Linked DNA regions of Saccharomyces cerevisiae S288C. The gene in region 2 interacts genetically with the main gene of each other region. Each region holds a gene or a part of one and is shown on either strand. Other genes may lie near its edges.

The links.
Region 1: mutations in BIG1 (region 2) and DFG5 together harm fitness more than expected from each alone (negative genetic interaction), as found in Saccharomyces cerevisiae (3 studies listed by BioGRID).
Region 3: mutations in BIG1 (region 2) and GDA1 together harm fitness more than expected from each alone (negative genetic interaction), as found in Saccharomyces cerevisiae (2 studies listed by BioGRID).
Region 4: mutations in BIG1 (region 2) and KEX1 together harm fitness more than expected from each alone (negative genetic interaction), as found in Saccharomyces cerevisiae (2 studies listed by BioGRID).

Annotation. Positions count from the first base shown.
Region 1 is NC_001145.3:743,823-749,919, forward strand, and holds DFG5 (putative mannan endo-1,6-alpha-mannosidase), read left to right. Parts: upstream 1-2,530; coding exon 2,531-3,907; downstream 3,908-6,097. Other genes in the region: BCH1 (exomer complex subunit), read left to right, coding at 1-2,101; RNT1 (ribonuclease III), read right to left, coding at 4,440-5,855. UniProt on the Saccharomyces cerevisiae protein: Required for normal synthesis of the cell wall.
Region 2 is NC_001140.6:313,214-319,088, reverse strand, and holds BIG1 (Big1p), read left to right. Parts: upstream 1-3,120; coding exon 3,121-3,230; intron 3,231-3,317; coding exon 3,318-4,215; downstream 4,216-5,875. Other genes in the region: putative serine/threonine protein kinase KIC1, read right to left, coding at 1-2,517; GEP4 (phosphatidylglycerophosphatase), read left to right, coding at 4,416-4,973; histone acetyltransferase TRA1, read right to left, coding at 5,094-5,875. UniProt on the Saccharomyces cerevisiae protein: Required for normal beta-1,6-glucan synthesis.
Region 3 is NC_001137.3:70,821-76,903, reverse strand, and holds GDA1 (guanosine diphosphatase), read right to left. Parts: upstream 3,134-6,083; coding exon 1,577-3,133; downstream 1-1,576. Other genes in the region: YEF1 (NADH/NAD(+) kinase), read right to left, coding at 1-960; GTA1 (Gta1p), read right to left, coding at 3,556-6,083. UniProt on the Saccharomyces cerevisiae protein: After transfer of sugars to endogenous macromolecular acceptors, the enzyme converts nucleoside diphosphates to nucleoside monophosphates which in turn exit the Golgi lumen in a coupled antiporter reaction, allowing entry of additional nucleotide sugar from the cytosol.
Region 4 is NC_001139.9:111,156-117,863, reverse strand, and holds KEX1 (serine-type carboxypeptidase), read left to right. Parts: upstream 1-3,199; coding exon 3,200-5,389; downstream 5,390-6,708. Other genes in the region: MCM DNA helicase complex subunit MCM6, read left to right, coding at 1-10; ARO8 (bifunctional 2-aminoadipate transaminase/aromatic-amino-acid:2-oxoglutarate transaminase), read right to left, coding at 303-1,805; YGL204C (uncharacterized protein), read left to right, coding at 5,859-6,164.

The DNA.
Region 1 (6,097 bases), on a different chromosome or scaffold from region 2:
AGTGGGACAATTCCAAGACTTGGGTCCGCCTGATTTAATTACTTTGATCAAATCGTTACCTTCATCCTCGAGCACAACAACTGCTACTGCCTCCGCCAACGATAACGGAGCAACTTCAAACATCAATGGACAAGATCCTACGACCATAGTTACGGAGTTACATTCCCATGACAAATTAAAGGGGCAGATCGGCACTTTCTTTTACTGTATGGGTATCGATACTTCGGATCCAACTTCTATTACAATCTTTGCCAAAAAGATAACCGATCTTTTCTTAGACACGCCCCAAATTTGGTTTGGTAAGAAGAAGCACTTTCACGTATCGAAGATTTCTATCAGTTCTTGGAATGCGTTTAGGAAATATGATGTTAACATTATAGTTCACATTCCAGGAACTGTGCAAACCTACATTATAAATAGCGACGGTGAACAATCGCAACTTCCCTCCGTGGCAGAAGCGTCATCTGGCCGCAACTCACAGGATTTAAACGTCAACATGATTTGGGCGGAAACGTTTATGAGTGGTATTGTACGTGACATTATGATTATGAAAGATAATCGTGCGGATGGAGAATCCCAGAATTTGGTAGAAACACTAATTTTCAATCCATTTACCTCGGGTGAGTTGGAAGATGTTGCCAATAACTTTATTAAACTGTTCCCCTTGGTCTATGAAAAAGGTGTTTATTTAGATGCACCTACTCACGTTTTAAATCCCTCGTTAACCAATAATTATTTAGTGGAAACTTTAGTGGAAATAGTTAGGTTAACTAAGAGTTTGGAAGCATGTCGTAAAATGCTCAAGAAGTTAATAGAAATTCATCCAGAAGCAGTAATAATATTAATTCGTGTTTATTTTGCGTGCGATTTAGAGATAGATGCAGTTGACCTGATCAACGAGCAACTAAATTCCCCCTCTTCGTTCTTAGCCGACGATTCAAAGACTAGCCATATCCAGCTAATCTTCAAATCCGAATTATTAAGTATTCAAAGTGAATTCTTACTGGATGTCAAGAGAGATTACAAGCTTGCTAAGGAAGTAGCCATGGAGGCTGTTAACTGTGCACCAAACGAATTTAAAACTTGGTATTTATTGACTAGAATATACATTAAACTAAACGATATGTCAAATGCCTTGCTATCGTTAAACGCCTGCCCCATGTCACAGGTTAAGGAAAAATACGTTCTTAGAAGAATTGCGCCTATTACTTCAGATGAAAATCTTCATCTGCCATTACCATTGGATGCCTCAATTGAGGAGATTTCGTCATTGAACCCCATGGATGTCCAGTTGGAGCAAAAGTCCGCAGATCCAAACCTAGTCAATCTCTCTGCGTCAAGTTTAAAGTCTACTTTCCAACTAGCCTATAAATTATTGACAGAAATTGTCCAAATAACAGGATGGGAGCAGCTGTTGAAATATAGATCAAAAATTTTCGTTATGGAAGACGAGTACCAAGGCTCCACTTCTTCCATTGATGAAGCAGAAGTTCGCGGTAATGATATATCCAAAATGAGATCAAAGAGGCTATGCGAAAGATGGTTGGATAATCTCTTCATGTTACTATACGAAGATTTGAAAACTTACACCGATTGGCAATCAGAGCAATTGTATTTTGATGCTCAAAACAGTAAATATCACAAATTAACTGTTGAATGGGAATTATTCGGCCTTTGTGCGAAAAGACTGGGACATCTTCCAGAAGCTGCGAAGGCTTTCCAAATTGGGCTTTCCCAAAGATTTTCTCCAGTATGCGCAAAGAATCTATTACAGTTTTACATTGACGAGCATAAGCGTATTAGGAGGGATTCAGTCTCAGCAAACTCCGAGTTAACCTCTTCTCAAATATTGTCAAGTATCAATGACATCGACAGCTCAATCATCGATCTAGTAGTCAAGATTTGTTGCTGGAATCATCGTTGGTACATCGAGTTCTCAATAATATTAATAGATGCTCTGAGTGTTGCAGTACAAGATATGGGCATTACTAAAGTACATAATGAAATTGCCTCTAGATTTTCTGACCCAGTAGCCCAATTGATTGACGATAACATTCTAAATTTTCTGAAGAATTTCACGAATGACACTTTCGATAATTAGAAAAAGATGAATACAATCAATAAAAAGGTGAAAGAAATCAATTAACAAGAAACGGGTTATGTATTTTATGTATGATATCCTGGCATTGTCATGTATAGGTCACCTTCTTGGGGAATTTCCCATTTTCAAGTTATTCTGCCTCTAATGCGATAACCGTAATCTTAAATTGTTTAATTTCTTTTTCACAATCTGAGCCACGCCCGAAAAAAAAACAATGTAATCCGCGTAAAGCGAAACTGAGTATAACCCAAAAATAGAATGTAAATTAATGAAAAGCCCATTTCTCCAAAAGATCAGCTTTACTCAAATATCTAATTAAGTAATTGACTGTGTACATTGTCCTTTATCTCATTTTGAATCACCTTTATTAATTTTTGGTTGTTATATAGGACGAACAAATTAGAACGAAATCATATCCAGAACGCAGATATGATCGTCAATATTAGTGCGAAGATGATCTTATCGATATGCTTTACGTTTCTGTCATTTTTTAAAGCCACTCATGCCATGGATTTGGATACTACTAGCAAAACGTCAATTTGTGATGCGACAGCGTTAATTCAAGGTGGTATGCTGGATTACTATGAGGGTACTAGATACGGTGGTACCGTTGGGATGTTTCAGTCACCATACTATTGGTGGCATGCAGGGGAAGCATTTGGTGGCATGTTGGAAAATTGGTTTCTTTGTGAGAATGATACATATCAAGAATTACTATACGATGCACTATTAGCGCAAACTGGTTCCAATTACGATTATATCCCGTCCAACCAAACGATGGTTGAGGGGAATGATGACCAAGGTATTTGGGGTATTACTGTTATGGGTGCTGTCGAGAGAAATTTTACAGACCCCGGTGACGGCAAGCCAGGTTGGTTGGCAATGGTACAAGCTGTTTTCAACACCATGTACTCAAGATGGGATTCAGAGCACTGTGGCGGTGGTCTGAGATGGCAAATTTTCACTTGGAATAGTGGTTATAATTATAAAAATACAGTTTCAAATGCATGTTTGTTCCAGATTGCGGCGAGGTTGGGCAGATATACTGGTAACACTACATATTTGGAGGTTGCTGAACAGGTTTTCGACTGGCTAGTGGATGTCGGGTATGTGGTTCTTAACGATACTGCAAATGTCTTTGATGGTGCTGAAATTGATACAAATTGCACTGATATTACAAAAATTGAATGGACTTATAATCACGGTATCGTGCTTGGTGGTCTTGCATACATGTATAATGCTACAAATGGAACAGGTGAATGGGAGACCAGTTTGACAAAAATTCTAAATGGTGCTAAATCTTATTTCTTCAAAGATAGTATTATGTACGAAAGCGCTTGTCAAGACTATGGCACCTGTAACACCGATCAAAGAACATTCAAAAGTATTTTTTCTCGTATGCTTGGTCTTACAAGTGTCATGGCTCCCTTTACTAGGGACACAATTGATGATTTGATAAAAACAAGTGCTGAGGCCGCTGCAAAATCATGTAATGGTGGTACAGATGGGCATACATGTGGTTTAAATTGGCAGAAACAAACCAATGATGGCTACTATGGATTAGGTGAGCAAATGAGTGCTCTAGAAGTTATTCAAAATCTTTTAATTCATGACAGGCCAGCTCCATATAAGGAAGATAATGGCGGTACGTCAAAAGGTGACGCGAATGCCGGTATGAACTCATCGACCACTAACGTGCTACAAAACAATTTAAACATTAAGAAAGGTGATCGCGCTGGTGCCGCTATCATCACAGCAGTCATACTGAGTGTGCTAACTGGTGGGGCTGTGTGGATGCTGTTTTAAATGTGTCAAACTAGGCTCAAAAAAATTTTATTGTATTCTAATATTTAGGCTATCCTTTTCTTTCAGTAAAAATGTTTATGTGCTACATACAAAACCCTTCATGATCAAAAACTGATTAAAATTTAGAGAGGAACAATTGTTTTTAAAAAAAATACTAAAAAACACTCACGATGGGGGTCGAACCCATAATCTTCTGATTAGAAGTCAGACGCGTTGCCATTACGCCACGCGAGCTAGTCATATGTTTCTTTCGTCTTTTTCATCTGATGACATTCTAGTGGAACATTTATGGTAAGATACCGATTCCATTTTAAGGATTTCTATACCCTCGAGGAGAACTTCTAGTACATACATAATTTTATAGCTTTGACCAACAATGGAATCCCAAAAATTATCAAATTTTTTATCAAATATTCAAATATATCAAATATTCTAATGTTTTATAAACGTTTTATGAATGACATATATGCGATAATTATATGGCTAAAGAAAATCAATGCAAGTTCCATCATGGTTGTGTAAAAGGAACGTTTCAGCTTGTATCTGAGAATTTTCTTTTCTTATTCTTTTGTGAGGGATCTTTTAACACAGATTCACTCCTAGGAATGGCAGCTCTTTGTTTGGCGTAAAAATCTAACATTTTTTTGTCACGAAGAGCATTTTCTGCAGCCCTAATACCCGCAATTTTGATATTTCTGCCCACACCGGTCCCTAAAACTGTTCCATCACCTACTCTGCACTCAACTATGGAATTAGGATCAACTGCAGTGGGTTTTTTTACGGTAACATAATGTAGACGTAATGAAGCATAGCCAATCAAAGAGTAAAGCTGCCTTTTAGCATTCATATCAAGTTTATCCGTCTTCTCCAAGGCAACTTGATTACGGGTAGCCTCCTCAATGACAGGTTTGGCAAGCTTTCTTAACCATTTTCTTATTTTGGGCAAATTATTCCTTGGATCATCTTCCATCAAGCCGCCAATGTAAGCTTCGAACACATCTGCATACAGTTTTAGTTTGCCGTTTTGAAAATTGGAATTTTCATCCTTCAAGTCAAAATTTGTCTTAAGTTTCTCATGGAAATTGTACATTATTGACCATTGTTTGATCTGTTCGTTGCTTACCAAATTCATCCTTAATGTTGATAACTGACCCTCGCTGTAATCGGGAAACTTGTTATAAATAATTAATGTCATAACAGAATTTAAGATCGAATCGCCTAGGAATTCTAGTCTTTCATTATGTGCGTTGATCATTTCTGATCCAGACAAGTAAACTTTATCCTTTATTGTGGATTTGTGAATAAATACCCTGGCCCTAATCGCTAAATCTTGAATCTCTGGTAATTTTGGAGGCCATTTTGTTGCCTTGACGATATCACCAGCCTTTGTTGGGTCATAGCTATCTTCTCCTTCGTCTTCTTCTTCATCTTCCTTTTCATTTAAATTTTCGTACACATTTACATCTATTTTCTCTCGCTTTTCCCTTTTAACTTGTTCTAGCTTCTCTAACTTTTCCATATCAGCTTTACTGATTTCTTGCAATATAGGTTGCTTTTGTTCAGTATCAAATTCATTTTCATAATCAGTAATTTCTGTCAAAATTGCGTCTTTTTTAAGATCATGTAAGGTTTTTAATTCAGCTGCCAGTTTTAATTGATAACGTGATAGAGAAGGAAGTATCTGAACAGGCACTCTATCTTGATTGTTAACGGCTTCATTGTAAGCTACCAAATTTGGTGAAAGTTCAATTATTTTATTGTAAGACTCCACCAATTTTGTCACAGCATGTTCTAGTTGAATCACCTCAAGATATTTGTAATTTGATATCTTAAGGTTGCCTTTCAAAAGCGTCTTGGTATTGATATTTTCGCGCTGCTGTGAACCATTTTCGTTATCTAGTTTATTATCATTCTGGGTTTTCTTTTTACCTGCTACTTTTGAGCCCATTGTTTTGAAAAGCTTGTAAATAGGACAGTTTTGCTCTCTTCTATATGCGCATTTACTTGCCTCACTTTGATCGAGCAGGATTCTCCTGAGAGTGACTATATGACCTGATAATGAGATAAATTTTGCGATGAGCTCATGAAAAATTTCAGCATGGTTTAGGGCCGCATTTAAAAAAGAAAAAAACTCGTACGTGAGAAATAGTACCACATGTAAAATTTTGTAAAACTGAAGTACCTATGCGA
Region 2 (5,875 bases):
ATTTCTCACAACAGGTGTAGGTAGTGGCATTTGTAGTTTTAAGTTTGGGTTGTTGCGTTTAAAGTCACCATTGACCCTTGAGCCTTCCTTTTCGTTGGAAAAGTAGTTTGATGAGGTTAAATTATTGCTGCTATTACCACTAATAGTGTTAAGTGTAGAAGAACTAGGTATGCTGTTCAGAGGTTGCAAGAGAATGTCCTTGTTATCTTTGCTATTGGCCATTGGTTTCATCGTAGGAGGAGGCGCGAGGTTCGTGTGAGTAGAATTATGACCAATGTTTTGGGTTGGGGAACCGGCAGGCTTTCTATTGGGAGAAGTTCCAACTCCAAATAGTGGCCTTGAGGGTGAAGAAGCCTTATGAGTAGATAACTTTGTTACATTACCTGGATTGGTTATGCCCATTTGTGTGCTATTTGCAGTGTTACTACCGCTGCTTCCTCTTGAGTTCTCACTATCAGTGTTGTTGTTATAGTTATTACTGTTGTTCGGAGTGGAGCTGATTCCGGAATTAGAAGCAACTGCGGACCCCAATTTTTGATTTGTTATGGTGCTTGGGCAATGTTCTGGCCTATTGTTACTGACTGTCAACCGCCTGGGCACGTTTGAAGGTGATTTATATTGTATTGAGCTAGATGACGAAGGAGTGCCAGCCGTCACTGTAGATGACCTGGCCTTTGTGCTTGGTATTAAAACCGGATCTGCGCTCGCAGGCGTTGGTAGAGCACTATTCGGTAGTTCTTCAGGAATTTCTATTTCAATAGACGTTGGAGCAGTAGTTAATCCACTTGTTGGAGGGCCCTTTGACGTCTTGTTAAATTTTGTTTGGAGTAGCGGCAAAGCAGGTGTACTCTGGCTATAATAATTGTTCCCACTGGATAAAGGTGGAAGGTGTGGTCGCATTTTATTATTATTGATATTTCCGTTGACCTCGTTGGATATTGAGGGAATGAAATCATCTCGTGAACTATTACCAGCATTTAGAGATGAAATGGATTTGCTTATTTTAGGAGCTTCTGTATTGACATCATTTTCAGCAGTAATAATTTCATTGTCTTCAAAAAGTTCAAGTAATTGTTTTGGAGCCTTACTTTCCAGCCTCTTAGATGATGTCATTGGACCGGCCGTATGTGTTCCAGAGGTGTTTGTAGTTCCAGCTACCATTTTGGAAGGGTATTTTGAGTTCGTATAGTTATTTGTTACTGGTGCATTCAAAGTAGAATTTTGAGCTATTGTACCAGGATAGCCCTTTCCTATCGTTGTCCCTTGATAAACAAAGGGTCTAGTATTATGACTTGTAGGGTCAAAGTAATAAGAATCTTCGTCAGGGTATGCATAGTTGAACAGGTCATGTTGGGCAGTAGCCCACTCGTTGTTGTCCTCAGCCAAAGCATCGAGGTTGATATTATTTTCAATAATATAATCCGACGAACTCAATGAATCAAAATCCCATTTCATTTCCACATCGCCTTCGTTCACTCTCTTAATTTCATTATCATTTGATGCTATTGACTTTTGTGCTTCATCACCCCCGCCATTTTGTGATGGTTTTGGAGCTTCACTGGGTTTTGATGGCTCATTTTCCGGTATACTGCCCTCTATTTTATATTTGTTTTTATTCTTGTCCCTAAATAGTAGATATCGTGATATTAGTTCTTTCAAAATGGACGTTGGCGTCGCCTTGTGGGCCCTGATAAATTTTGATTTTAAAAGATCGTCTGCTGACAATCTCTCCTTTGGATCCTCATCAAGACAAAGCGCAATAAATTCTTTCAAAGATGTACTGTATGATCTGTCCTCAAGCCTCGGTGGTTTCGATTTGATGATTAGTTGCATTGCCCTTAGGGCCTCCACATCGCAGTATGGCGGATTTCCGGTGGCAATCTCGTACGTTGTAATACCTAAAGACCATATATCTACTTTAGTGTCGTAATAAACGCCTTCCATGATCACTTCTGGAGCCATCCAGTAGGGGGTCCCAGCCATAGTTTGACGTCGTAAAGAAGTTTGGTTTACTTGTGCAGCGACACCAAAATCGCATAGTTTAACATTACCTTCGTTAGTGATCAGAACGTTTGCTGCTTTGATATCTCGATGAATGACGTTATCTTTATGAATGCATTTTAATGCTACAAGCAGTTCTCTCATAATAACCCCAATGTACTTTTCATCGATTTTGCCTGGCCTTAACAACGAACGCAGTGAACCACCAGCGCAGTGTTCCATTATGATCCAAAGGCTTGTGTCTTTCAAATACGACCCATAATACCGCGTGATATTGGAAATCTGTTTCAAGGAGGCCAAAAACTGAATTTCTCGCTGCACATCCTCCACCTCGTCAGAATCAGAATCTAAATTTAAGACTTTGATAGCATACACTCGTCCAGTCTTCACGTTATAGCCCTTATAAACCACACCAAATTTCCCTCGCCCAATAACTTCCGTTCTCTTGAAAAGTGAACTCACATCCATCTCTCCTTCGGCTAAACCCTGCTTACTATTTTGTGGCTTCGTCGTCATTACTGCCTGTTCTCTATACGTGTTTTGCTTGCCAGTCGATGGCGCCCAAATTTATACTTTTTGTTTCTTTATCTGTGTACTGTTAAAAGTAGTACTGTTAAAAGTAGTAAGCTCCTTAGAAAGCGGTTCCGCCTAATAGTTCCTAACTTGTTGTATGTGGCTTCACGTAGGACGAGTTGCCTCTGTTCTTCTTTGACTTTTGCCACGTCGGCAAGCTGCTGCTCTTGTTGATGCCTTTAAAGATTGTCAGATCGGCCTGAGATCGACGTGTGGCATGATAATGTTGCTCGATGGGCTGTAAATAGATAAGAAAGAGTGAAACGAATAGAGTAACGAGGCCACAGATGTGGCGAAACCTGGGAGGATATGTTCTAACGTTATCTAGAGTTCTGATAGAGCATTGTATGCGATAGTACCGCTGACATATGTGCATTCTTTAATTATATCGATGATATCATGCAACACGGGTTAGCTCTGTAGTAATGTAAACCTCTCTTAACTACGGCCAAGAATATCAGCAGCGGAGGTTAAGTTGCAGGTTATACCTATCTGTTTTGTAGTTAGGAAACGTAGGCGCATACTAATTAGGAGTAGCAAGGCAAGATGCAAACTGTGTTGAAATATTTGTTGCTTATTATGTGTGGAAGCTTTTGTGCTTCGGAGGAATTGCAAAACCAGACCAATGTTCCTGCAATATTCTTCTCTTACAAACTGTATGTAGAACAAGAAACATTAATCTTTAGTAACTTTCATTTTTCTTACTAACTAGATGTTATACACATATTTGTACTTTTGGATAGAACTCCCGGTATTTTAAAGTATCAAGAGGATTATGATAGGGCTGTGACTTTACCAAGAGACACCTTTATTGAAGCGGCTGAGAAATTCTTAGGTGTATGTAATGCTGACACTTATGTGTTTATTAATCAACCAGGCCTGAGGAAATTGGACTTCTTGGAATTTGAAACAGAGTTTGTTTCGTTACAGAGATATATAAGACGGAGTTCAACCGCGATTAAGTTCGAAAAGGTAGACCTATTGCCTCAAGATTTATACTATGATCTTGCAGAGTTTGTAAAGGAGTATTGTAACGTAGACCAGGTGTTGAACTTACGAGGTAATAATACAGAAGATTTCCAGCCCTTTATTGATAGCGAAAAAAGAGTGATTATAATAGAGTACCCTAAGTTACCAGAGGACACTAATGAACGTAAAGAAGCATTCCGCCATTATGACAAGTATTTGAGGACTATACTGGCGCAGATTCCGTCGCCAGAACAAAATGTCATTTACACCTCGTTAAACCCAGGAACTACGCTGGCTCACGAGTCGATCATCCCTATCCAAATATTTCCAGATATCTTTGACATAAAATCCAGAGTGGGTGAAGTGGAACAAAATAATAGAGTTTTGGATGTGCCTCGTCTGTCGTTTAATGACTATACTCCACGATTTTCAGAGCCACCTTCGGAGTATGTCTCAATATTTGATTCACAATTAATTGAGAATAACAGAGGTTTATTACAGCTGATTTTCACAATTTTGGTTGGGTATATTCTTATTCAGTTTTTTTTCACAAAAAAAACTATTGTAGATGAGAAGATTACTAATAAAAAGGACAACGTGAAACAGACGTCACCACAACTGCTCAAAAAAGTGCAAGAGATCCAGAAAAAGCCATCCCAGCAAGTATCTTGATTATGGTTCGTTATATACATCGATTCTTTGCAAAATTATCCATGAGAGACTTCGCGCCATGCTACAATTTACCAATGCGCATCGAGAAATTTATGCTATCGCATTTAATATGATATAATTATCCGTCTGTTTATATATATATATATATGGGGCCAAACTGAAAGGCGGCAGTTACATTACATCGTCTCCTCTACCTAGTCATGAACATCAGTGGCACCTTAAATACGCTCCGGTTGCTTTATAACCCATCACTGTGTAAGCCTAGTCTAGTTGTCCCCACTTTTAACGATCTTCCTATACCAATCCACGATTCTATAAAGGCCGTGGTCTTGGATAAGGACAACTGCATCGCCTTCCCTCATGATGACAAAATATGGCCAGATTACTTGCAACACTGGGAAACCTTAAGGTCGAAATACTCTAACAAAGCACTCTTGATTGTTAGCAATACCGCCGGTTCCAATTCTGATAAGGACTATTCGCAAGCAAAACTTTTGGAAGATAAGACAGGTATACCTGTTTTGCGGCACTCTACAAAGAAACCAGGTTGTCACAACGAAATATTAGATTATTTTTATAGAAACAAAACCATAACAAATCCAAAAGAGGTTGCTGTTGTTGGAGATAGGCTTTTTACTGACATCTTGATGGCAAACCTAATGGGTTCATACGGGGTGTGGATTCGAGATGGTGTTAAAGTTTCGGCAAATCCTCTCTCCAAGTTCGAAAAAAAATTATACAACTTTTTGGGATTTTGATTAGGCAACTTTAATAAAAAGTAAAACATTTTAATTTTTTATATAGTACATATTTTTTGAGGCTTTCTCTACCTTCATTAAATACAGAGAAAAGGCCGGAAACTAACCCATGTATCAGCTCTAGAACCATGGCATGAAGTTCACGTCTGTTCTTGCTAAGTTTCTTGGACTGACAGCGCTGCCAATACAGTCTAGGATGAACTGGGTTGTGACTGTAGGTGTTGAATTCAAATGGCCCAATTGTGCCACCTTTCTAATAATTAGGTCAACGTTGGTTTGAACCATCTCACGTAACTGTGGATTTTCAATGATTGGCCGGTGAAGGTTGCTAAACCATGATATGATCTCGTCACGGATGAATAGGGCCAAGTATGTGTTCAGTTCATTATCAGGTTCAATTAATGCACGTGATATGGTAAATAAATTTACCGCAAATATACCTTCTAAAGCAGAATCACCTATCAAAGATTGAATATTAGGCGTCAGTCTGAATGGAACTGGTTCATTATTATGAAATATCGGAGAATCTGGTGGAAGACTTAAGTCATGATTCTTTAGCAATGGTTTCACCCTTTCATATGGAAATCTTGAGGGTAACATTTCTAAAGTAAATACATTACCAGAGGTTTTGTCAACATGGATTTTGTGAGGAGTACGGTTATTGATCATCATCATGTAAGACATGAAGACAAACGAACTGTATTGTGACGCAAATTGTTTACGGAATAACCAGAAATCTTCAAATTGAGTAAACAACGAGGTAAAATGGTCTTTTAAAACATTTGATGGTACAAACATTGTTTGAATTGAATTGAAAATTTCAACTTTCAATATGGTCATATCTGGCGCAGGCAGAGCATCATCATGCGCTGCGTTTAGTTTATCTGCCATAAAATCTTGGA
Region 3 (6,083 bases), on a different chromosome or scaffold from region 2:
TCCCGTAGGCGTGGCAACAATCAATCCATCTCCCTGAACCTTAGTCATTAGTGAGTCGTTTCCATAGAGTTCTAATAGGGATAAACAAGGAGCTGGACCTCTATCTATGGTTACTTCGTTCAATACGTGATGTTCGGAGATGAAATCGATGTAACATATTTTTCTCCCAGTTGCGGCATCAATTTCTGGTTTATTTCTACGGTAGAGTTTGCATTGCAACCTCATTCGTAAATTAATACGAACCTCATCTGTTAAGATATGTTTCAACGTTTCTTTGAAATTTTGAAATTCAAAATTTGTTAGAAATCCTAATGATCCAAGGGCAAATGGAACAATCGGCGGAACATCTTTCGTGAATATAGATGAAGCAAAAAGGACAGTTCCATCACCCCCTAGTGTAATCATCAAGTCAAAGAATGAATCGTGTTTTTTAACAAATTCTTTTGACCAATACTTTACTCTGTTTTTACTGCAATTGCTGTCTTTGCAGAGGTCACCAACAGCAAACTGAGTTGACTTTTTAAAAATATCTTGTACATATACAGTTATTGAATGGAAATTGCGTAAGATCCATTCCACCACTTCTCTCATGAGAAATACAGTGGAAATATCATTAATATTGCAGATTATTATCAGGTTTTCAACCTGCAAGTCAACCTTAGCATTTATAAGATCCTTTCTCAAACGCCTTACATCGTATGCAGTATCAACATAAAATGGGTATAAATTACTCGTGTCCTCACCGACAATTGTTTCGCTCGATAATCTTCTGACCCAGTTTTTTGCATCATGATAACCGCACCTCATTAAGCCCGGTTCTTCGAAGTTGCTTAATACCTTGCCTTCCGCTAAAACTTTAACTGATGTCATTCTGTCAATAGTATCCATAGTATCCATCTCAGCATCTCCCTTGGTACATGTCTCCGGGGAAGCGTTAATCAGTAATCTATCAGTTTTCATATTCTCTTTTAGTAAAAAATGTCACGTAAGCAGATTTATTGAGATTGCACTATTTCCATTTCCCTTTCACAACGCTATAGAAGTGAGATGAATACACTAACCTGATTGTAGGTTTATTTATATATATAATATCAATAGCTAGCAGTTTATTAAACGACCTGAAATGCAGTTTCTTCGATCACCAGATAAGTCCGATTATCCTTTTGTTTTCGATTTTCTTGAGGACCGGTGTGATATCCACAATCACCCTAAAACTAAAACAAAGCCATATAGTCTTAAAACAACGGAACAATCCATAACAAAAGTATATTAAATTATCTCATATGTTCAAGATTATGAGGTCCTAACAGATAACTCTTCCAGTTCATACTCAAACACCTGAAGGCGTGGCGGGCTTTTACCAAAAATGGATAAACCTCGGAAGGCCTTTTCAATCCCCTGTCTTGGCGGCGGTGTTATAATAAACTATTGTGGGGATAATAGTGATTTTCATAACGTAAAAATCGTTTACATATTGTTCAAGGGTTATAGAATAGGACATATAACAGAATACATATCACCGCAATCTCCTCTTCCTTAATATACATGGGACGAAAAGCGGTGTCCATGTTCTTATTCAAGCTGATTGAATTTTACATTTCCAGTTATCAGCTTTCAACAATGGTAATGACGCACCTAAACACCAACCGATTTCTTTATTGGCAATTTTCTTTCCAGTTCTCAATTCTCTTTGTAATGGAATGTCATATCCCGTATGTAATAAGGACACTTGAAAAGATAAGTCCAAACAGAAGTGCGAGTCACTTTCCAATTCATCTAGGGACCCCGCAATGCCACTGAAGACACTATTCCAAGTTTCTTCGCCTTTACACACTATTCTTGCCAAATCGTTCAATTCATTCAAAGTAAAGGACAAGGGCATACCCAATGGACGGGTTCTGTCGTAGAAATAAGAGAAAATATAGATATCGTTCGATTCTTTGAATGTACGAACTAAAGAAGGTTGGTGAACCCCATTGAAAGAGCATGGTGGAGACTGGCACTGAGCATCTTTATTCAAAATTTCATCAGTCAGAAATCTACATTGTGCACCACTTGGCTCGTCCGGCCCTATAAAGTCAATGGTATAAGTTTCCTTGGATTCTAATGTAACCTTTTCATTTGTGGCATTAACTTTAGGCGGTAGGCATGGAGATGACAATTGATGAGTCTTAGTGTTATCACCCTTCAATATTTTGCCGTCTTTTAATGCATTTTCCACAAGAACAGAGTTAACTTTATTTCTTCCTTCCTTCAAACCGTAACCTAGATGAGAAAATTGGTACAAGGTGTAATTTTCATCACCAAACTTCAAATCAAATTTATGCTCACCATCGACCATTTTTTCATTTATTGGGAAAGTAGGCTCAAAAACAATTTGTGTAGACCCTCCGCCTAAGTCAAAAACGGCAGCAGTAGGTAACTTGGGGCCATTAGCACCGATATTACCTAATAGGTAGTTTGTAGTAATCCAGGCGAAGACACCTTCTTCATCACCGCCCATGATGGAAACACCATCACCTTCGACAACTGGGAAAGGATAGTCCTTCTCCAAATGATCCCTTACAGCGCTCAAAATTTTTGAAGATTTGGCATCACCCAAGAGTCTTAGGCCTGCAGTAGCTTTCACCGCAACGGGAGTACAACTTCTTGCCTTAATAGGGACATAGTTCATTGCTACTTTCAGTAATGGGTCAAGGGAGTTAGCGGCACCAACGGAATCGGTATCGAAAGAAGATAAACCAGGCTCTAACATGTCGAATTTTTCATCAAGTAATGTAGGTGGGGAAGTACAGACGTCAAACTTGTATATATGTACTCGGGAACCGGTAGAGCCGGCATCGATCATGATAACATACTTATGTTCTTCGCTGCATGTTTGACTTGTTTGTGACTTCACAGCATCGGCAAGCTCAGGATAGTTTTGTTCAGTCTTCGAATCTTGAAGGTAACCTGGTTCATCATTGACGGGCAAGATAGAGATGTCCTCCGGAGTTTTGGGAATACTAGCATTAGGAGTAACTGTACGTGCAATAGAAGGTGGACCGATGGAAGATGTTTTAATCAACAAAATGAGCATAATAACGGCAAAAGCACCGATAGCGAACCGGTAATTTCTAAAGATGGGCGCCATGTTTTTTGTGCGATGATGTCTTAATGTTTCTTCTCGAGAGGACCCTTAACTGTTCGCCAATAAAGATTGTTGATTGCAGTCCTTGCCCTTTTTATTAGTGCTTTCTCCTTAAAACCAAAATTAAATAAGCTTGTAAAAGAAACTGTTTTTATATTTGGAAAATCGAAGCACTATGCAAGGAATATTATTAATGTTGACAGTTATTTTTCATGTGTTATGTTTTTCATATTGAAGTTGTAAAAAGATGGGAAAAATGAAATTGAGACGAGACGCCAAAATAAAAAGAAAAAAAAAAAGAAAAAATGAGATTAATACCGTTACCCTATTGATGATTAAGAATAAGCTCAAACTGCTTTCATATATTATGTTTCATAATTTATATATCTACATATATACACGACCTGGAAGTATTATAATATTGTTCATGAGTCGTGACTGTGCGGGTTAAATAGATTATTCATACCGCTCTTGGACAACAGTTTTGACATTCTTCTACCGCTTGGACTAGTTGATGGAGTTGATGAATCTTGAATATCCGTGTCCGCATTAGCAGGTGATGATGCAGACTTGTGCTTAAACTTGGACCATGCAGAAGAAATGCTGCTGTTACTTTGGTTCCTCTTGTGAGAAGGCTTAGGGCTTGGTTCTTTAGCGGGAACCTTTGGACCCACAGGCACATCGAGGTGATACTGCTCCTCCAATGGAGGAGAAAGTTGATTTGTATTTGAATTCCATATGGAGTTGAAAGGTGGTGAAGAGGCATGGAAAGATCTTCGTGTAATGTTATCCGCCGTTGGTTGATGGTTCATTGTTAATATGTTCGAGTGTGAAGGTGTTAAAGTAGTGTTATTGCCTGGAACAATGGGCACATCGTTTGAGAGTCGTGGGCTCAAGTTTGGCACCAATAAATTGAAGTCACTTGATATCCTTGGACTAATGTTCTCGGTTTCATTGCCATTGATATTGTTCTGTAAGGAGTTTGCAGGTTGCGGAGCACTGTAGAAAGAACCACTGCGTACAAAACTTTGTAATGAAGGATCATTCAATGTAGCGGCGAGTAGACTCTGTGGATGCATAGGATTCGTATTGGTTGCGTTGGAGGTTTGTCGCAAATGAGAACTAGAATATGGAGATATTACTGGGTTAGCCTTATATGATGACATAGGTGTTCCAGTCGTAGAGAAAAGACTTTCATTTGTGCTGCGCACCTGGGGTTGCTGCTTAGTCCAGTAATTGTCAAGTTCGTCTGTAGTAAAACCCTTGGAATAATTGCTTATGTTATCAGGATAGTCTGTTTCGTCGTAGATCATATTTTGCAAACCACTGATTAAGTGGTTTGCATTATCGTATTCAAAAGCTTGATCCAATTCTGTAGATACTTGTTGATGCGAAGGTTGAGCGAATTGTGCGGTGGTCCATAAATTTGACCTTGAGTGACCATTAGTTGCTGTTGCTGTTGCTGTTGCATTAGCAGTAGCAGTTGTAGGTAAAGCATGTGAATATGAAGAAGGCTGTTGCTTGTTTTCGTTGTTCGATGAGATGTGATTGGAGAGCATTGATCGATTATCGGTGTCCTGTGTCAATTGACTCAATAGACTGCTTGAAGGTTGTATGGGTTCATTCGAAGGAGAGTACGAAACTGGATTGTGCAACCTCAACGGAGGAGCAGAATCAGCATTACTGTTGTTAATACTTTTGTTATTATTCGATATTAAATCAATGGACCCCGTTCTTGACATGTTGTTGGATAATGGTAATTGAATCGATCCAGAACTTCTGTTTTTTTCCGCGGAATTATTCGAATTGGTGGCAGCAAGCGAATCACCGTTATTCTTATATGGTTGAACCATTAATTTTGTTTTCAAATTCCGATTATTAAGGCTCATTTCATTAAATTGGTTTTCTAAAGCACTAATTTTCTTCAACAAATTTGACCTCTGCAATTTCCAGTTGGCCTCCAATTCTTGATCAATGCTTAGCTCTTGCTTAATCATTTTAATCAATGATGAGTCTGCATTCAATTTGGATAGAAACTCTTCACCAGCATTACTTAAAAATCCATTTTTTTCTAAAGTAAAATCATTGAGCTTCTTCAAAACAGCCGACAATTCTCCGCTAGCAATAGGTTTATCGTTTTCCACATTGGCATTCACCACTATGGAAGTAATCAATGATTTTTTGGAGGCGTTCAATCTCTTGTTAGACTCCTCCATCTTGGAAATTTCATTTTGTAAAGACTCAATTTCTTTGTTGATATTGGCCACAGAGGCATTGGATTCATTTAGCAATTTGAAATATTTCTCCTTTATGGTATCCTTAGACAACAGCTCGGTATCTTCCTGAGACCATTTCTGCATATCATTGCGCATTTTCGATATTTTTTCCTTGGATTTGTCGATTTTCTTGTTCAATTTTTCGATTTTCAAATCGGTCAATAGTTTAGAATTCTCCAATGACTTGATATTGGATTTCAAGGATTTCCGCAAGTCAATTTCGTGCGACCAATGTGTTTTCAAGTTATCCAGTTCTAGTTCTAATTCTAACTTCGATTCTTGAAAATCTTGCAAAAGCGAAGTTTGTTGGGACAACACATCGTGTAAGTCCTCCTGGGCGCAAATCAGTATCTTTTTCAGATCATCGATGGAAAACGAATCCAAATCCTTCAACGTAGTCAAAGATGTGTAAGCGGGTAGATTTGAACCATTATTGCTGGTGGCGCTATTAGTAATATTGGATGAGAAAGTAGACAGGGAAACAGAGGAGTAGTGAGAGGGCAACGGGGCGGGTTCGGACTTGGAGTTTCTGGGCTGCATAGCTGTGGACGATGTGATGGTGTTTCTTCTCCATTTTCTAGTCTTTAACGCTTCATTCGCCTCTCTCGCCTTCGTCATACAGTAAATGGAGGGTAGCTTATTGATAAAGCCCTTGTTGTTAATCGTTATAAAATCTA
Region 4 (6,708 bases), on a different chromosome or scaffold from region 2:
TTCCAGCTAATTCAGTGCACTCTTGCGGATTTTCATATTTCGTTTCAAGTATCGTTCACGTTGTAAATTCCTATCGTGTGCATTTCTCTTTGTGGGAGAAAAATATCTTACATAACTTGGCTCTCAAATCAAGTTATAATTGTTGTATAAAGTTGTACTCTTAATGAAAAAACAAAATATTATATTTTGGCTTCCACTTGCAGTCTTTTACAAAAAGAAAAAATACTTCGAAATTTAAGCAATACAAAAATACGTACGTCCTTTTTTCACCTTATATATATTCTTCCAACGTATTTACCTCTCTATTTGGAAATACCAAATTCTTCGTATAAAGTATCACCTAATCTCTTCAGACCTTCAGTCAGTTTCTCAGGAGAGACAGCTGCATAGGTACCTCTGAAGAAAATTATGTTTGGATTACTGACTTCTTTAGATTCAGCGGGTTGAGGAGGTTCCGTCTCACCCTCACTCTTGAACCAAGAACCGGGAACCACTAAAACACCACGTTCAACCACTTTGTGGTAAAGACTCTGTTCTAGCTGGTAAGGGTCTGAGTTGTATTTTGTTTTAAACTCAGGGTGGACAGATGCGTCAATGTTCACGGTGAAAAACATACCTGCAATTGGAGGATTGATCACGAAAGCATCAGATTGTGGTAGATACTTGTAAAGGGCATCGATGGCACAGTCACGTTTCAAAGTGTATTCATGACGCAGGCCAAGCAACCAGTCCAAGTAACCCTTTTGACCCCACCTGGATAGCGTAGCGTTGACCAAAACTTGTGTAAAACCTGCTGGGGCTTGAATCGTCATTTCATGCAAACTCAAGTAAGGCTTCAAGATTTTGGATGAACCAGTAATCCAACCCAATCTTGTCCCTGGGGCCAAAACTTTTGAAAAGGAATCCATTCTAATAACACGGCCTTCTGTATCCAAGGAAAGGAAAGTGTTTGCCAAGGACTTCAAAAATTCGTCATGGTCCTGCTTTGGAGAACTTTGTGCCTTCTCTCTTTCCTTCAAGTCTTTGATGTAGGGATTCATTTGTAAGAAATAATAAGGTTCATCTTCCACAATTAGGAAGTCGTACTTTTGAGCGATCTTGTAAATTGCCTCCTTTCTATGGTCTGCAATGGAAGTACCAGTTGGATTTTGGCCCGTTGGAATAGTGTATAACAACTTTGGTTTAGGAGCACCAGGTGTCCAGTTTTCCATGACTTTAGCTAATTTTTCAGGAATGATACCATCAGCGTCAATTGGCACGGGGAAGGTAATGACACCTTGAGCCTCTGCAGAAGCCAATGAAGAGGAAAAAGAATGTGCCTCAACTAAGATGACATCACCTCGGTTACAAAAGACTCTTAAAGTAGATTCCCAGGCATTTGTGTTACCTGCAGTGGCTAAAACGTCCCAGTCCTTATACTTCAAATCGTGGATAATCTTGGTATGATCTCTAATGAAGTTTAATAGTTCAGGTTGACCAGCACTGAACCCGTATTGCAAAGCTCTTGACAAAGGAATATCGTTGGAAGGATTGGCACTTTTATCAGCGTAATCTTTGTTGACGGTGTATTTTATGCAATTCTGCTCGTCAATTGGAGCTCCAATACCCTGGGGAAAAGGAGGCTTGGGTGAATCTACAGATAGATTATCCCATGGGAAATAATCTTTTAATGGCAGGCCACCACCCAAAAAGATAATGTTAGGATCTTGGAAAAGATGGATGCAGGTTTTCAATGGGGATGGTTTACGAGCATTGGTTTCATCCGAAAACAAGTAAGAAAAGTCTTTTGATTCAGGTAAAGTCATGATAGTAACGATCGGTTGTCCTATTCAATGTCTGTATCAACTGCAGGGTTTAACTTAGTGGAATGGAAAAATAAGAAAAAGAAATAAGTTCTTAAAGATATAACCAAACCAAATATATAGTCTAGAGATGTGTATAGGAGGGTCTACAAGATAAGAAAAAAGATTGCGATACACATATCTTCAAATGAAATGCGCTTAATATTAGTCATAGATTGGACCTCGAGAAAGTGAAAAAGTGCAGAGTGAAAAATGTGATAAAAAAAGGAAAAAAAGACATCTAAGGTAACCCGGATGTTCTTCATTATTCCGGCGCAATTTAGTACTGTTCTTCTATCAATGGCAATTCAGAAGCCAGATTCTTGAATGAGGTGAAGGAGAACAATGGTTATAGGTTAATTAAGAGATTTTTGGATGGTGTATATGAGCCATGTTTAATCTTGGAAAAATAGTGAACCGGGAAAAAAATAAAGAAGAACTCCTCATAGGGGGCTCGAACCCCTGACATTTCGGTATCCTTGCTTAAGCAAATGCGCTTAAAAGCCGAACGCTCTACCAACTGAGCTAACAAGGATGAGTTCTTCGGATTTCTTCGATAATAGTTTTAGTTAAATATACATTATGTTCACATAATGCTATTATTTAATGCACATGTTAATGGACGGTAAACTACTTATCATTTATTGCAACAAATGAAAAGACACCACCCTAACAGCACGAAAAATGATGTTAATGTCTTGTATAGTATTGTCGGATAACTAACTCTCGTCTCAACAAAGCTTAAATAAGAGCTGAGAGATTGGTGAATTTTAAGATGATTGTAGGCATTTCATTGTTGATCAAGGCTACAATATTATGTATACAGAATATACTAAAAGTTCTCCTCGAGGGTAGAGGAATCCTCAAAGGGGAAGCGATATTTCTACATAATATTATTACGATTATTCCTCATTCCGTTTTATATGTTTCATTATCCTATTACATTATCAATCCTTGCACTTCAGCTTCCTCTAACTTCGATGACAGTTTCTCATACCTTATGTCATCGTCTAACACCGTATATGATAATATACTGGTAGTGTGACTACTAGTTTATAGACGATAGTTGATTTTTATTCCAACAGGATCATTTTGTTAGGTGAGGAATTGCGAGCTTTTTGGCTATAACTTTCAAGTTTTGTCACCAACATTTATATTTGCTTACTGCAGCCCGGAACCGAAAAACAATGTGGAAAAAGAAAAAAAAGTGGAATATTTTGATAATATAGGAAACATTAAGAAAAGCGATTTCTTATCATTGTCTTCAACTCCCATCTATTTGAAAAAGCTTGCTGAAGCATACTTTGGTTAAAGAGTACCTTGGCTATAGAATACCGTAGAGATAAAGACCTGAATAGATGTTTTACAATAGGTGGCTCGGAACGTGGCTAGCCATGTCTGCTTTAATAAGGATCTCAGTATCCCTTCCGTCATCTGAGGAGTACAAAGTGGCATATGAGCTGTTGCCAGGGTTATCTGAAGTGCCAGACCCTTCAAATATTCCACAGATGCATGCTGGCCATATTCCTTTACGTTCCGAAGATGCGGATGAACAGGATAGCTCTGACTTGGAGTACTTTTTTTGGAAGTTTACCAATAACGACTCTAATGGCAATGTCGACCGTCCCTTAATTATATGGTTAAATGGTGGACCCGGTTGCTCTTCCATGGATGGTGCCTTGGTCGAATCCGGCCCTTTTAGGGTGAATTCAGACGGTAAACTTTATCTAAATGAAGGGTCCTGGATATCCAAAGGCGATCTTTTATTTATCGACCAACCTACTGGTACTGGGTTTTCTGTCGAACAAAATAAAGACGAAGGTAAAATCGACAAAAACAAATTTGACGAAGACCTAGAAGATGTGACCAAGCATTTTATGGATTTTCTGGAGAACTATTTCAAGATTTTTCCAGAAGACCTCACTAGGAAAATCATACTATCGGGTGAAAGTTACGCTGGCCAATACATACCATTCTTTGCCAATGCAATTTTGAACCATAACAAATTTTCAAAGATCGACGGGGATACATACGACTTGAAGGCGCTATTGATTGGTAACGGTTGGATTGACCCCAATACACAGTCCCTATCGTACCTTCCGTTTGCTATGGAGAAGAAACTGATTGATGAAAGCAACCCCAATTTCAAACACTTAACGAACGCACACGAGAATTGCCAGAATCTGATAAACTCTGCCAGTACAGATGAGGCAGCCCATTTTTCGTATCAGGAATGTGAGAATATTTTAAACCTTCTATTGTCTTATACCAGGGAATCTTCGCAAAAGGGAACAGCGGATTGCTTGAACATGTATAACTTCAATTTAAAAGATAGTTATCCATCTTGTGGTATGAATTGGCCGAAAGATATTTCCTTTGTCAGTAAATTCTTCAGCACACCTGGTGTTATTGATTCGTTGCATCTTGATTCTGATAAAATTGATCATTGGAAGGAATGCACTAATAGCGTTGGAACTAAATTGTCTAATCCTATTTCAAAGCCATCTATCCATTTATTACCTGGTCTACTTGAAAGTGGAATAGAGATTGTCTTGTTCAATGGTGACAAAGACTTGATTTGTAATAACAAGGGCGTATTAGATACTATAGACAATCTAAAATGGGGTGGAATAAAGGGATTTAGCGACGATGCTGTTTCGTTCGATTGGATCCATAAATCGAAGAGTACAGACGACAGCGAAGAATTTAGCGGATACGTGAAGTATGATAGAAATTTGACGTTTGTTAGCGTTTATAATGCTTCTCACATGGTACCCTTCGATAAAAGTTTAGTGAGTAGAGGCATTGTCGATATTTACTCGAACGATGTTATGATCATTGACAACAATGGGAAAAATGTTATGATTACTACTGACGACGATAGTGATCAAGATGCTACTACTGAAAGCGGTGATAAGCCAAAAGAAAACCTCGAAGAGGAAGAACAGGAAGCGCAGAATGAGGAAGGAAAGGAAAAAGAAGGCAATAAAGATAAAGATGGCGATGATGATAACGACAATGATGACGACGATGAAGACGATCACAACTCCGAGGGCGACGACGATGATGACGATGACGATGATGAAGACGATAATAATGAAAAACAAAGTAATCAAGGCCTCGAGGATAGTAGACATAAATCTTCAGAATATGAACAAGAAGAGGAAGAGGTAGAAGAATTTGCAGAAGAGATTTCAATGTATAAACACAAAGCGGTAGTAGTTACCATCGTTACATTTTTGATAGTGGTTTTAGGAGTTTATGCGTATGATAGAAGAGTGAGGAGAAAAGCGCGTCACACAATTTTAGTTGATCCAAATAATAGACAACATGACAGTCCCAATAAGACAGTTTCATGGGCAGATGATCTGGAAAGCGGACTCGGGGCAGAAGATGATTTAGAACAAGATGAGCAGTTAGAAGGCGGAGCACCCATAAGTAGCACTTCTAACAAAGCAGGATCTAAATTGAAAACTAAGAAAAAGAAGAAGTATACTAGCCTTCCGAACACTGAAATCGATGAATCTTTTGAGATGACTGATTTTTAACTTGGCAAATAAAAATATATAAAAAATACAGAAAAATAGTTATAATACCTCGCACACGCTTTTCGTAGTAACAGCGACATAAAGATAAATTCTTTAAAGGGTACAATCCATCAAGAACTGACTGTTTTATTTAATTCACACTACTGAACTTCATATTAAAGTGTCGTCATTTAAGTCTAGTAGGTTATATTAATCGCGCACAATAGTTTTTTTTTATGCAAACTGTATCACGAATATTTTTTCAGTTTTCGGACCATTTTTTGACATTTTTAACCAGTTTTTAACATTTTTATGGTAGCGTTCTTTTATTTTTCACGTAATTGCATTGAAATAGACATAAACGTATAAAATAATATACAAGTAATTAGAGCTTTTGAACGAGATTGTTTAGTGGTTGTTTTAACTCCTTCACAGAAGTTGAAAACTTCAACGCATTCATAGCCCCACATATCAACACAAATCCCTGGAAATGAATGGAACTGATATCCTTCGTTTTTTGCAATCTTCCCCCACCATTAGTTACAGCAAACATTTTATACTTATAACAGCATGCCCTCTGTTTGTATTAGGACTATTATTGTTAGGTCTTAGAACAGCAATGTTCAAACAAGTAAGAGGTAAAACGACAACAAGTAGAAATAGAGGTGTCATTGCGGCAAAGTTATTAGTTGCATGGTATCTTGCCACCATAGTTATGTATATTGCTAAAAGCGAAATGTGGAAATATGCCTTTGCTGTTTCGCTACTTCTTAATAGTTTGGCACTATTTTTTTGAAAAAATGGAATCGATATTTCTGCATATTAATATCACCATCATTTCTCCTCCCTTATATGTTCCATTACCCTATTACATTATAAATCCTTGTATTTCTGCTTCCTCTACCTTCGATGAAAGCTTCTCATACCTTATGTCATCTTCTAACACCGTATATGATAATATATTGGTAGTGTGACTACTAGTTGATAAACTGTTGGAATAAAAATCAACTATCATCTACTAACTAGTATTTACGTTACTAGTATATTATGATATTCGGTGTTAGAAGATGACGCAAATGATGAGAAATAGTCATCTAAATTAGTGGAAGCTGAAACGCAAGGATTGATAATGTAATAGGATCAATGAATATTAACATATAAAACGATGATGATAATATTTATAGAATTGTGTAGAATTGCAGACTCCCTTTTATGGATTCCTAAATCCTGGAGGAGAACTTCTAGTATATCTACATACCTAATATTATTGTGTTGATAATTAGAGGTTAAAAATTAGTATTAATGAAGAAGTGAGTACTGATCTTCTTATACTAAATAAG